Linked DNA regions of Oryza sativa Japonica Group. The protein of the gene in region 2 binds, or shares a complex with, the protein of the main gene of each other region. Links are inferred from orthologs where the notes say so. Each region holds a gene or a part of one and is shown on either strand. Other genes may lie near its edges.

What was found. Proteins that work in one complex are often made in the same cells at the same time.
Region 1: probable U6 snRNA-associated Sm-like protein LSm4 (region 2) and sm-like protein LSM7 share a complex: the UniProt entries of both Arabidopsis thaliana proteins name them as parts of the heptameric LSM1-LSM7 complex. The link is inferred for Oryza sativa Japonica Group from reciprocal best matches to the Arabidopsis thaliana genes emb1644 and EMB2816.

Annotation. Positions count from the first base shown.
Region 1 is NC_089042.1:4,610,555-4,614,862, reverse strand, and holds the start of sm-like protein LSM7, read right to left. Parts: upstream 2,812-4,308; 5' UTR 2,652-2,811; intron 2,550-2,651; 5' UTR 2,514-2,549; coding exon 2,511-2,513; intron 2,389-2,510; coding exon 2,307-2,388; intron 999-2,306; coding exon 927-998; intron 564-926; coding exon 511-563; intron 102-510; coding exon 15-101; 3' UTR 1-14. UniProt on the Arabidopsis thaliana protein: Component of LSM protein complexes, which are involved in RNA processing. Component of the cytoplasmic LSM1-LSM7 complex which is involved in mRNA degradation by promoting decapping and leading to accurate 5'-3' mRNA decay.
Region 2 is NC_089035.1:8,583,615-8,587,767, reverse strand, and holds the start of probable U6 snRNA-associated Sm-like protein LSm4, read left to right. Parts: upstream 1-1,351; 5' UTR 1,352-1,602; coding exon 1,603-1,605; intron 1,606-1,697; coding exon 1,698-1,739; intron 1,740-1,836; coding exon 1,837-1,935; intron 1,936-2,205; coding exon 2,206-2,283; intron 2,284-3,827; coding exon 3,828-3,870; intron 3,871-4,153. UniProt on the Arabidopsis thaliana protein: Component of LSM protein complexes, which are involved in RNA processing. Component of the cytoplasmic LSM1-LSM7 complex which is involved in mRNA degradation by promoting decapping and leading to accurate 5'-3' mRNA decay.

The DNA of each region.
Region 1 (4,308 bases), on a different chromosome or scaffold from region 2:
CAGCTCCTGCAGGTTTATGCACCATCAGATTGGAAGGGGTTGGCAATCTCGTCCGTTCCATCGGTTGGCGATACAAGCATCACCGCTGTACCCCTACAGACCTGCAACAAACAGTCGTTGGAGCTGAGGTGTCAGGATGATGAAACCAGCCAAAAAGAAATCAAATGGCAGAAACAAACTAGTAGTTTGCAAGAAACCAAGCTCTTGATTTTGAGATTATTTTTGTTTAATCACTGTTTTGTTGTAAATCTGATCGAATCAACATTTCCAGAAAAAAAAAAAACTAGTGCAGATTTCAGCAAAGTGCAAAATAATCGTATAGCATGGAAATAAAAACTCTCAGAGCTTCCTTCTCTTAATGAAATGATACACACATCTCGTGTATTAGAGAAAAGAACTATCAGAACTACAATCGGCAAGCAATATAAATAATATAGGACAAAGATAAGTCCTGGATATTGAAATCAATACAGTCCTGGATATTGAAATCAATACTGCAAAGAAACTTACAATAAGACCAAGCTGTCTGGTTTTCCCTGATAGTTTCAATGGATCATCTTGCTCTACAAAATGAGAAAGTATGTATGAGAGCTTCACTAAACTTTGCAGGAAAAGATTTAATAAGGCATTTGTTATCTACAACTGTACCACACCTACATTAGCAAGTAGTACTCCCTCCAGTCATGATTGTTTGACAATGGGAAAACTAAAATTTAGTCTATGTGTAATTATTATGCTGTATTCCAGCCCAATCTTCTTTGTACATAACAGTAGATTAGCACCACATAAACATACAAGATGCATGAAGGATGGAAATTTCTTCTTAGTTAAGATTCCAAATACATAGATTTGTGATTTATACTCAAAACTCCAAACCAATGGGGATCAAACAAAACAATGCAATGTATCAACATATGCAGCAGTACCTCTTTCAAATTCAACCGCTTCATCAAGCACCAAGTTTAGAAGCTGGTCATAGCCCTTCAAAGTCCCTGTAACTGCAGATGTAGAAATACCAAAGTTATGGCCTGTGATGTGGTATTAGTGTATTATAACAAACTGCAGGATAACAAAAACGAGTTTTCTGGAAATTGAAACAGTTCTACTGTCATTTTTTAGTCTATTTTCAATCTTTATCTTAATATCAATGCTAATGGCTAACCTCCTTGCAACTACTATAAACAATGTCAAAACTTAAGATATTACATAAGGGGCCGCTCATCTGCTTGACGGAGTTTCTATTTCAATATACAGTTAGCATATGATATTTTACCACTCTGTCCGTAAAATGATACTGAAAAAAGAAAAAAAATAAAGGTGAAAAGTCATCATATAGTTATCAGGATAGCCAACCATGAGAGTGCCTTCACTATCTAGATGAGGTTAGCTACAAACAGAATACAAGGTGTAATTCAAAAATATGCAATCACAGAATCTGGTATCTGTGAGCATACAGATTGAAAGTAAAAAACTGGAAGAGAAGGCGGTAAGCTTCTAGTAGGGCCAAATCCTCTCCACATGCACATATTGGTGTTGCTGAAATTCTGAATGAATGCAAGTGGAATGCTGGTTTATATGTGGTATCATACAGAACACTGGAATCAATGTTTAAGGGATTGAGCGGAGCTCATTTCCAGACTTATTCATTATGAAAGAATATTAAGGAATTAGGAAGTGTCAATTGATAAAGTTGCTACTCGTTAATTTTAACTGGGTGGCGGATGGCCCTTGGACAGCAGGATCCATCACAAGAAATGCTAAAAGATGACCAATTTGTGACAAAACCTTAATTTACCAACCACCATGCTTGAAAACTCACAATTATGTGCTATAAGCATTCAGAGGACATGTTAAAACTAGCCACATGGATGCTGCGCTCGACATCTCAGATCATTACTGTGGACTGGAGCTGATGCGCACAGTGAATTTTACTGAAATAATTAGTAGCTTCTTCCAACCCCATCATTTAGCCTTCAGCTTATAAGCGTAAGTGAAAATTTGAATTTTAAAACTATTATAGAGTTGATTTTGGTGATTTTTCATCGTAGTTTCTTTTGTTCAGCATTTGCTTTTAAATCACCAAGAACTCATATATAAAAGTTTTACCCATAAATTATATTTTTAATCGCTAATTAAACCGTTTCACTTATAATGAGGCTGTTCGAGCTGGCTATACCCTACTCTACAATTTTGCTGCAGACCTAGGATTTCCTGCCCCTGCCACTGAGGTTTCTTGGCACAAAACTATACCCACATCTACGAGTATTCAAGAATCCAGACCTAAACTGGTGATGAAACCAACCAACCTTGCCTGCCGCCGGTGAGCTTGACCTGGACGCCCTTGTCGACGAACTTGGCCAGGTCCAGCACCGTCTCCTTGCGCCCCGACTGCTCCACCAAGACACGAAACCGGAATCAATCCCACCAAACCAAACCAAGAACTAGCACCCGGGATCGATCCAATCGAGCACCCGAAACCCCAGGAGGGGAGAAGAGGGTTTACAACTTACCATCCCGGACCTTAGCCGCGGCCTCTGGTCGCTTCAAATCTGCGAGGCAAGGAGGGAAACTTTGTCAAATTTCGCTGCAAGATCCGAGACGACGGATGGGAGAAGACACGGCGCCCGCCGGCGACGGCGGCGGCGGCTTACCGGAGTTAGGGGGTGGTGGCGGCGGTGGCGGATGCGGGGGTTGATGGTGTTGTGTTTTTCTCTTTTTTTTTCTTCTTTTTTTTTCTTTTTCTCGCAATCACTTTATAGAGGTATAAGGAGGACTTTTCTTATTGGGCCTTCAGCCCATTTTAGAGATGAAGCCTAATTGCTTCAATGTGTATGATTTGAAGCCCAATTAATGGGGTGTTCCTACTGCACGCGCACGCGCCAGAACGGGAAGCCGCGCGTGTTCCTACTAACCCTAGCGCTTACCGTGTAAAAAAACGCAGTACATTTTTTTTTCATGTTCGCACCTCTTTTTTTTTCTCTGAGCGCGTTTTTTTTCCTCCGTTTCTTTCCGATTTTTTTTTAATCTTTTGCACACCTCTTTACAAATGTAGAATTGGAAAGTTTTTTATTTTGACTTGAAATTTTTTAATTTTTGTATTGAAAGTTTTTTAATTTGAGTTGAAAATTTTCAAATTTGAGTTAAAAGTTTTCAAAATTGACTTGAAAGTTTTCAAATCTTGACTTGAAAGTTTTTAAATTTTGTATTGAAAGTTTTTAAATTTGAGTTGAAAGTTTTTATATTTGAGTTAAAAGTTTTCAAATCTGGCTTGAAATTTTTCAAATCTAGGATGAAAAGTTTTAAATTTGGGATGAAAAGTTGAAAGTTTTTAAAATTTAACTTCAAAAACTTTTCAAATCTAGATTGAAAGTTTTCAAATCTGGATTGAAAGTTTTTAGAATTTGACTTCACATATATATTTCTTTTCAATTTATTACTTAAAATAATCTTCGGAAAAAAGACAAATCTTATCTTAATTATTATCATTACCTAGAACTAACCGAATCAGTTTTATACGTATAGAGAAAAAATTCCGAAAAAAATAAACGCGCGTCTCGCCAGCGCAAGCGCTGAGAATGGCTGAGGATGAGACGTGTGGGCCGGCGCGTGCGCGCCAGGGGCGCGTGCGCGCCAATTAGGATTTGCGCAATTAATGTGATGAACAACTGAACTATTTTTGCTCTAGTGAGAACAATTGAATATACGATACTACCCTGTCCCAAAATGTTGCCTAGATTTATAATGGAAAGTTAATATATTTTGGAGCGAAGATAATAATATTTTTTCCTAATAAAAAGATTATCTTGTTTTATTAAAGGTAGAGATAAAGTTAGGTACGAAAAACAAGAAAGTGTTGCGTTTTAATTATTACTAAGTTGAAATAATGATTTATCATGTATTTTAAAATAACTTATATATAAAATGTTTTCACATGGAATATACTGTTTAGCAATTTGAAAAGTATGATAATAAAAACCAACATAAAAATTACTATATCTTAATGGGGGCAAATGGATTTTTTATACTAAAAATCAACGAAAATAGAAGAAGGGTTGACTCTTTCATGAACTCTATCCAAACCATGACAATTTTTTTAAAGTTTTTTTTTGTCAACTATGTTTCAAATCTAAAGTAGATATTAACCAACTAATTGTTTTAGCTATGAGTTGTGTATATCAATGCATTAGGCCTGTAGTTTTGCTAATCAACTACTAGATGTTAGATGTGTTTTTTAAGCTACTAACTCCGTCTCAAAATATGTTACATTTAATATTAAAATTTATCATAAAATACAACTAATAGAATTTT
Region 2 (4,153 bases):
AAACCGAAATGATATATTTTGAACTATCTCTTTGTTTCAAAATATAAGAACCACCAACATTTGTAGTTTGCACTAAAATATAAACACTCCTAGCACTATAAAGTATAAAGTACTACTTATTTTAATTGTTTCCCATTAAAATTTCTTTCCATCTCTTCCTTAACCACTTTCTTGCCCCTAACCATATCTTATTTAAGCCGCATTCGTTTATTCAACTCTAAAATGCAACTTTATCTTTTTTAACATGTTTTTCAAACTGTTAAATGTTTTCTTTTACAAAAACTTATTATATAGAAGTTATTTAAAAAAATCAAATAAGTTTAAGTTTAAATTTTACGGTAATTAATACTCAATTAATTATATGATATTGGCTTACCTGTTTTGAGTGCCACCAAAAAGCTAAACTAAGTTGAAGATTCAAACTAGGCCTTGATATTGGACATCGAAATCTTTTCTCTTTAACCTTAATCTCCATGGTTTCCAACTCGTAAAATCAAGTCGAGGTACCCTGGACCGATTGGTCAACTAGTCCATCACTAGCTGATGACTTGCCCATGCAAAAACAGGGATGCAACATATAGTCTTTACTAATATTATACTATACTAAGCATTGTATAAAGTATAAATTATGATCTATAGTAGCAAGACAATAAATCAACAAGAAATAAAACTAAAGTATTAAACACAACAAGCTAATTAGCATGGCGAATTAATAATTCGCAACCGACTTTACGATGAACCACGACTTGCTGTTTGGACGAGACGTGGTTCTCTAGTCGATTAGCTTGACCAACTTTACAACTAATCTATCACTAAAATCGTGACTAGTCGTATGACTTGATAACAATTATAATCTCTATGTACAAATAAAATTATATTTTGGAAATGTAGTACTAGTATTTTTTACAATTTCCTTAAAAAATTATTTTGAGGGACTTTAGTTTTTCTCCTCTAGGAAATAGACCATATATGCCTAATTTTGAAAAGGATAAAGGAGTCGTATACCGGGTATCAGAATTACTAAAATACTGTCGCAAGTTTTTTTGGAAAAAAAATATCTATAGTATAATTATAGTGTAACTACAATATTGTTACACTATAAGAAACTATATCGTAATCTCTGTATAAAGTACATTGTAAAATGTAACTGCACTAACTACATTATAACCACCATATAAGTTAGACAAAAAATTATATATATTATTTCAATACTTATATATAAGTTATATTATAGTTAGAGTAAAATTATATTACAATTACAAGATTTGAAAGTTTATCCTTTAAAATTACGGCAGTTTTCTTTATAGTCTCTACTCGTATATATAGGCGGTTTATAACAACTTGAACTTTTATTTGGGACACGTGTACATAACTCTTTCGGTCCGGGACCCTCTCTTGTTTTTCTTCGTTGCTCGCGAGCTCTTCCCCCCTCGCCTCGCCTCCCCACCCAACAAGCCCGCGGCGGCGACTAGGGTTTTGACCCCCCGGAATCCCCCCTCCTCTCGCCGCCTCCGCCTCCGCCGCCGCCGCCTTCCTCCCCGCGCCGGCGACGATCTGCTCCTCCTCCCCCGCCGGCATCGCTGTTTCCGGATCTAGCGCAAGATGGTTCGTCTCTCTCTCTATTTCTCAATCTGTACCCTCTCGATCCCCAAATTAATGCGGCCGTGTCTGATTCTGTGTTTGTGTTGTGGTTGCAGCTTCCGCTCTCGCTCCTCAAGACCGCCCAGGGGCATCCCATGGTAAGAGAAGATCCGCCGCTTCGCGCTGTGCGTGGTGGTTGTTTGGTTTGGTTTCTGATCGGCTAGGGTTTGAAACTTTTGTGTGGTTTTTTTTTAGCTCGTGGAGCTTAAGAACGGCGAGACGTACAACGGGCACTTGGTGAACTGCGACACGTGGATGAACATCCACCTCCGGGAGGTTATTTGCACCTCAAAGGTGAAATCTCGCATCCCCGACCCACTTCGCTTGTAGATTTTAGTGGGGACAAAAGATTAGTGGCATTGTTTGGATTTGGGGAAAATAGGGAGTAGCCATTTGTTAAAGTAGTCTTCATATTTTTTTTGGAATTTGACGTGGAGATAGACAGATAGTAGGAACTTATAGTTCGAATTGTGTGTTCTCTTTTGGGTCATTTGGTTCCAATTGGTTTGATCGTTTAGTTTGTGATGAATGCTGTTTCCTCATTGTTTATGGTTGTCATTGCAGGATGGTGATAAGTTTTGGAGGATGCCAGAATGTTACATCCGTGGGAACACCATCAAGTATCTTCGGGTTCCTGATGAGGTATGGATTTTTAACATGTTAAACCTTGTTTACTATGTGCTTGTGGTTTGCTGGTTGTATGTTTAGACATGTATGTTCTCCATCTGCATAATCAGCCTTTTTTTTTCCCTGTTAGCATTCATCACCATAATTGCTAGCAAAATCACTATGTCGTGTGCAATTTTTTTGTGGTCAGCTTTCAGTTTCAAGTTTTGTTTTCCCTTTTAGATCTTTATGGGTGCCAGTGTGTCTCTTGTTTTGTCTGAGTAATCTCTCACGTTAGATATATGTAAGTTATTTGATGCCATTTAAGATATCTGCCTTATGGTGTTTTTAAGTGATTTGAGCAGATGAGGACCTCTCTTAAGCTAAGCAGAGCATTTTAATATGATTACGTGCAAATCACTCTGCATTTTATCTGTTAACTATCCACGAGGGGCTGATAAATTTTCTTGATTTCAAATCACTGATATATGACACCAAACAATTCTCCTGCTATGAATAGTGACAAAACTTATGTTCCAACTCTGCTGTACGCAAAGCTACTTTCCCACAGCCAAGGAACATTGAAAATAGTTCAGAACTTCAGATAATGGAGAAGTAAATATCACATAACCGTGACCTGGATAGTAGGCCTAAGTATATATGTCTCCTAGGTCACATCATATAGATGTAGCTGACTTTACATCATATGGATATAAATGTTATTAGTACTTTTAACCCATAAATCTATAAGCAAAGCACAAATGGGAATGTATTGAGCCAGGATATGCCCACACTTGTTATCAATTCTGAATTTAACCAGCCTTTCAATCCCTATTCTGGAAGTACAATCGAAAATTGATATGGTAGAGGTAGAATACTTTTTACCCGATCTTCTGGAGTTAGACAGCCTTTTATCCTTATTCTTAATCTTAAGCTGCATATTTTACCACTGAGATTAAGATTAAGAAACAGACATAAATAGGACTATTGTACCACTGAGATTTAGATTGCATTTTCCTCATGTGCTGGTTTGAGTAATCAAACAATCCTACGATGAGTTGGTCAATTGTGGGACCATCCCACAATTTAGTTGGTTTCCTTATTTTTCTACAAAACTTGATACTTTTGAGGGATGAGATGGAGTGGACCAACCCATTAACATTCCCAACCAAATAGTTAAGTTCAGAGTTAGGATCGTATGGTTCATTCACCAACTAATTCCTGAAATAGAACAGGGCCATCAGTTCATCTCTTGTTAGATATCTCTTGTGTTCATTTTGTTGTATTACTCTTTATTTTTATTTTTAGAGGTCAAATAGCTAATTGGATGTTCTTGATACTACCTCCATCCCAAAGTATGAGTTTTAGGGTTGGGCACGGGTATTAAGAAAGTTGGTGGAATCAAATGGGGAAAGGTTGTGATTGATTGATTTCGATTGATTATTTTTGTCTTTTCATGACATTCCAGCATATGTTATGTACTTCTGTTTTACCTTCATGATGATGATGATGATACACCAGCGTTGTCATTGTTACCTGTGCTTTCCAATCCTAAATGCATGAATTTATTTCTATGACAGGTGATTGACAAGGTCCAGGAAGAGACTTCAAAGAGCAGATCAGGTATGTACCCAATGGTTCCAGCTGTTATAAATCACATTTGTCTCTGTAATTATTTAGATGTTTTAATATTTTCTGTGAACTTGATGAAATATTTAAATCATAATTTTGTGCTATTAGTTGCCTTTGCTTGAACCTTATTCCAGTTCATTATTGGAGAAAAAATTGACCTTATTCAGTTTCCAAGAGATGTATTTTGTCATAACCCATAATTTTTATTAGTAAGAAGTACATTATATGCGGCAGTGCTATCAGTTGAATGTATGTGGCAGTGCAAATGCGTTTA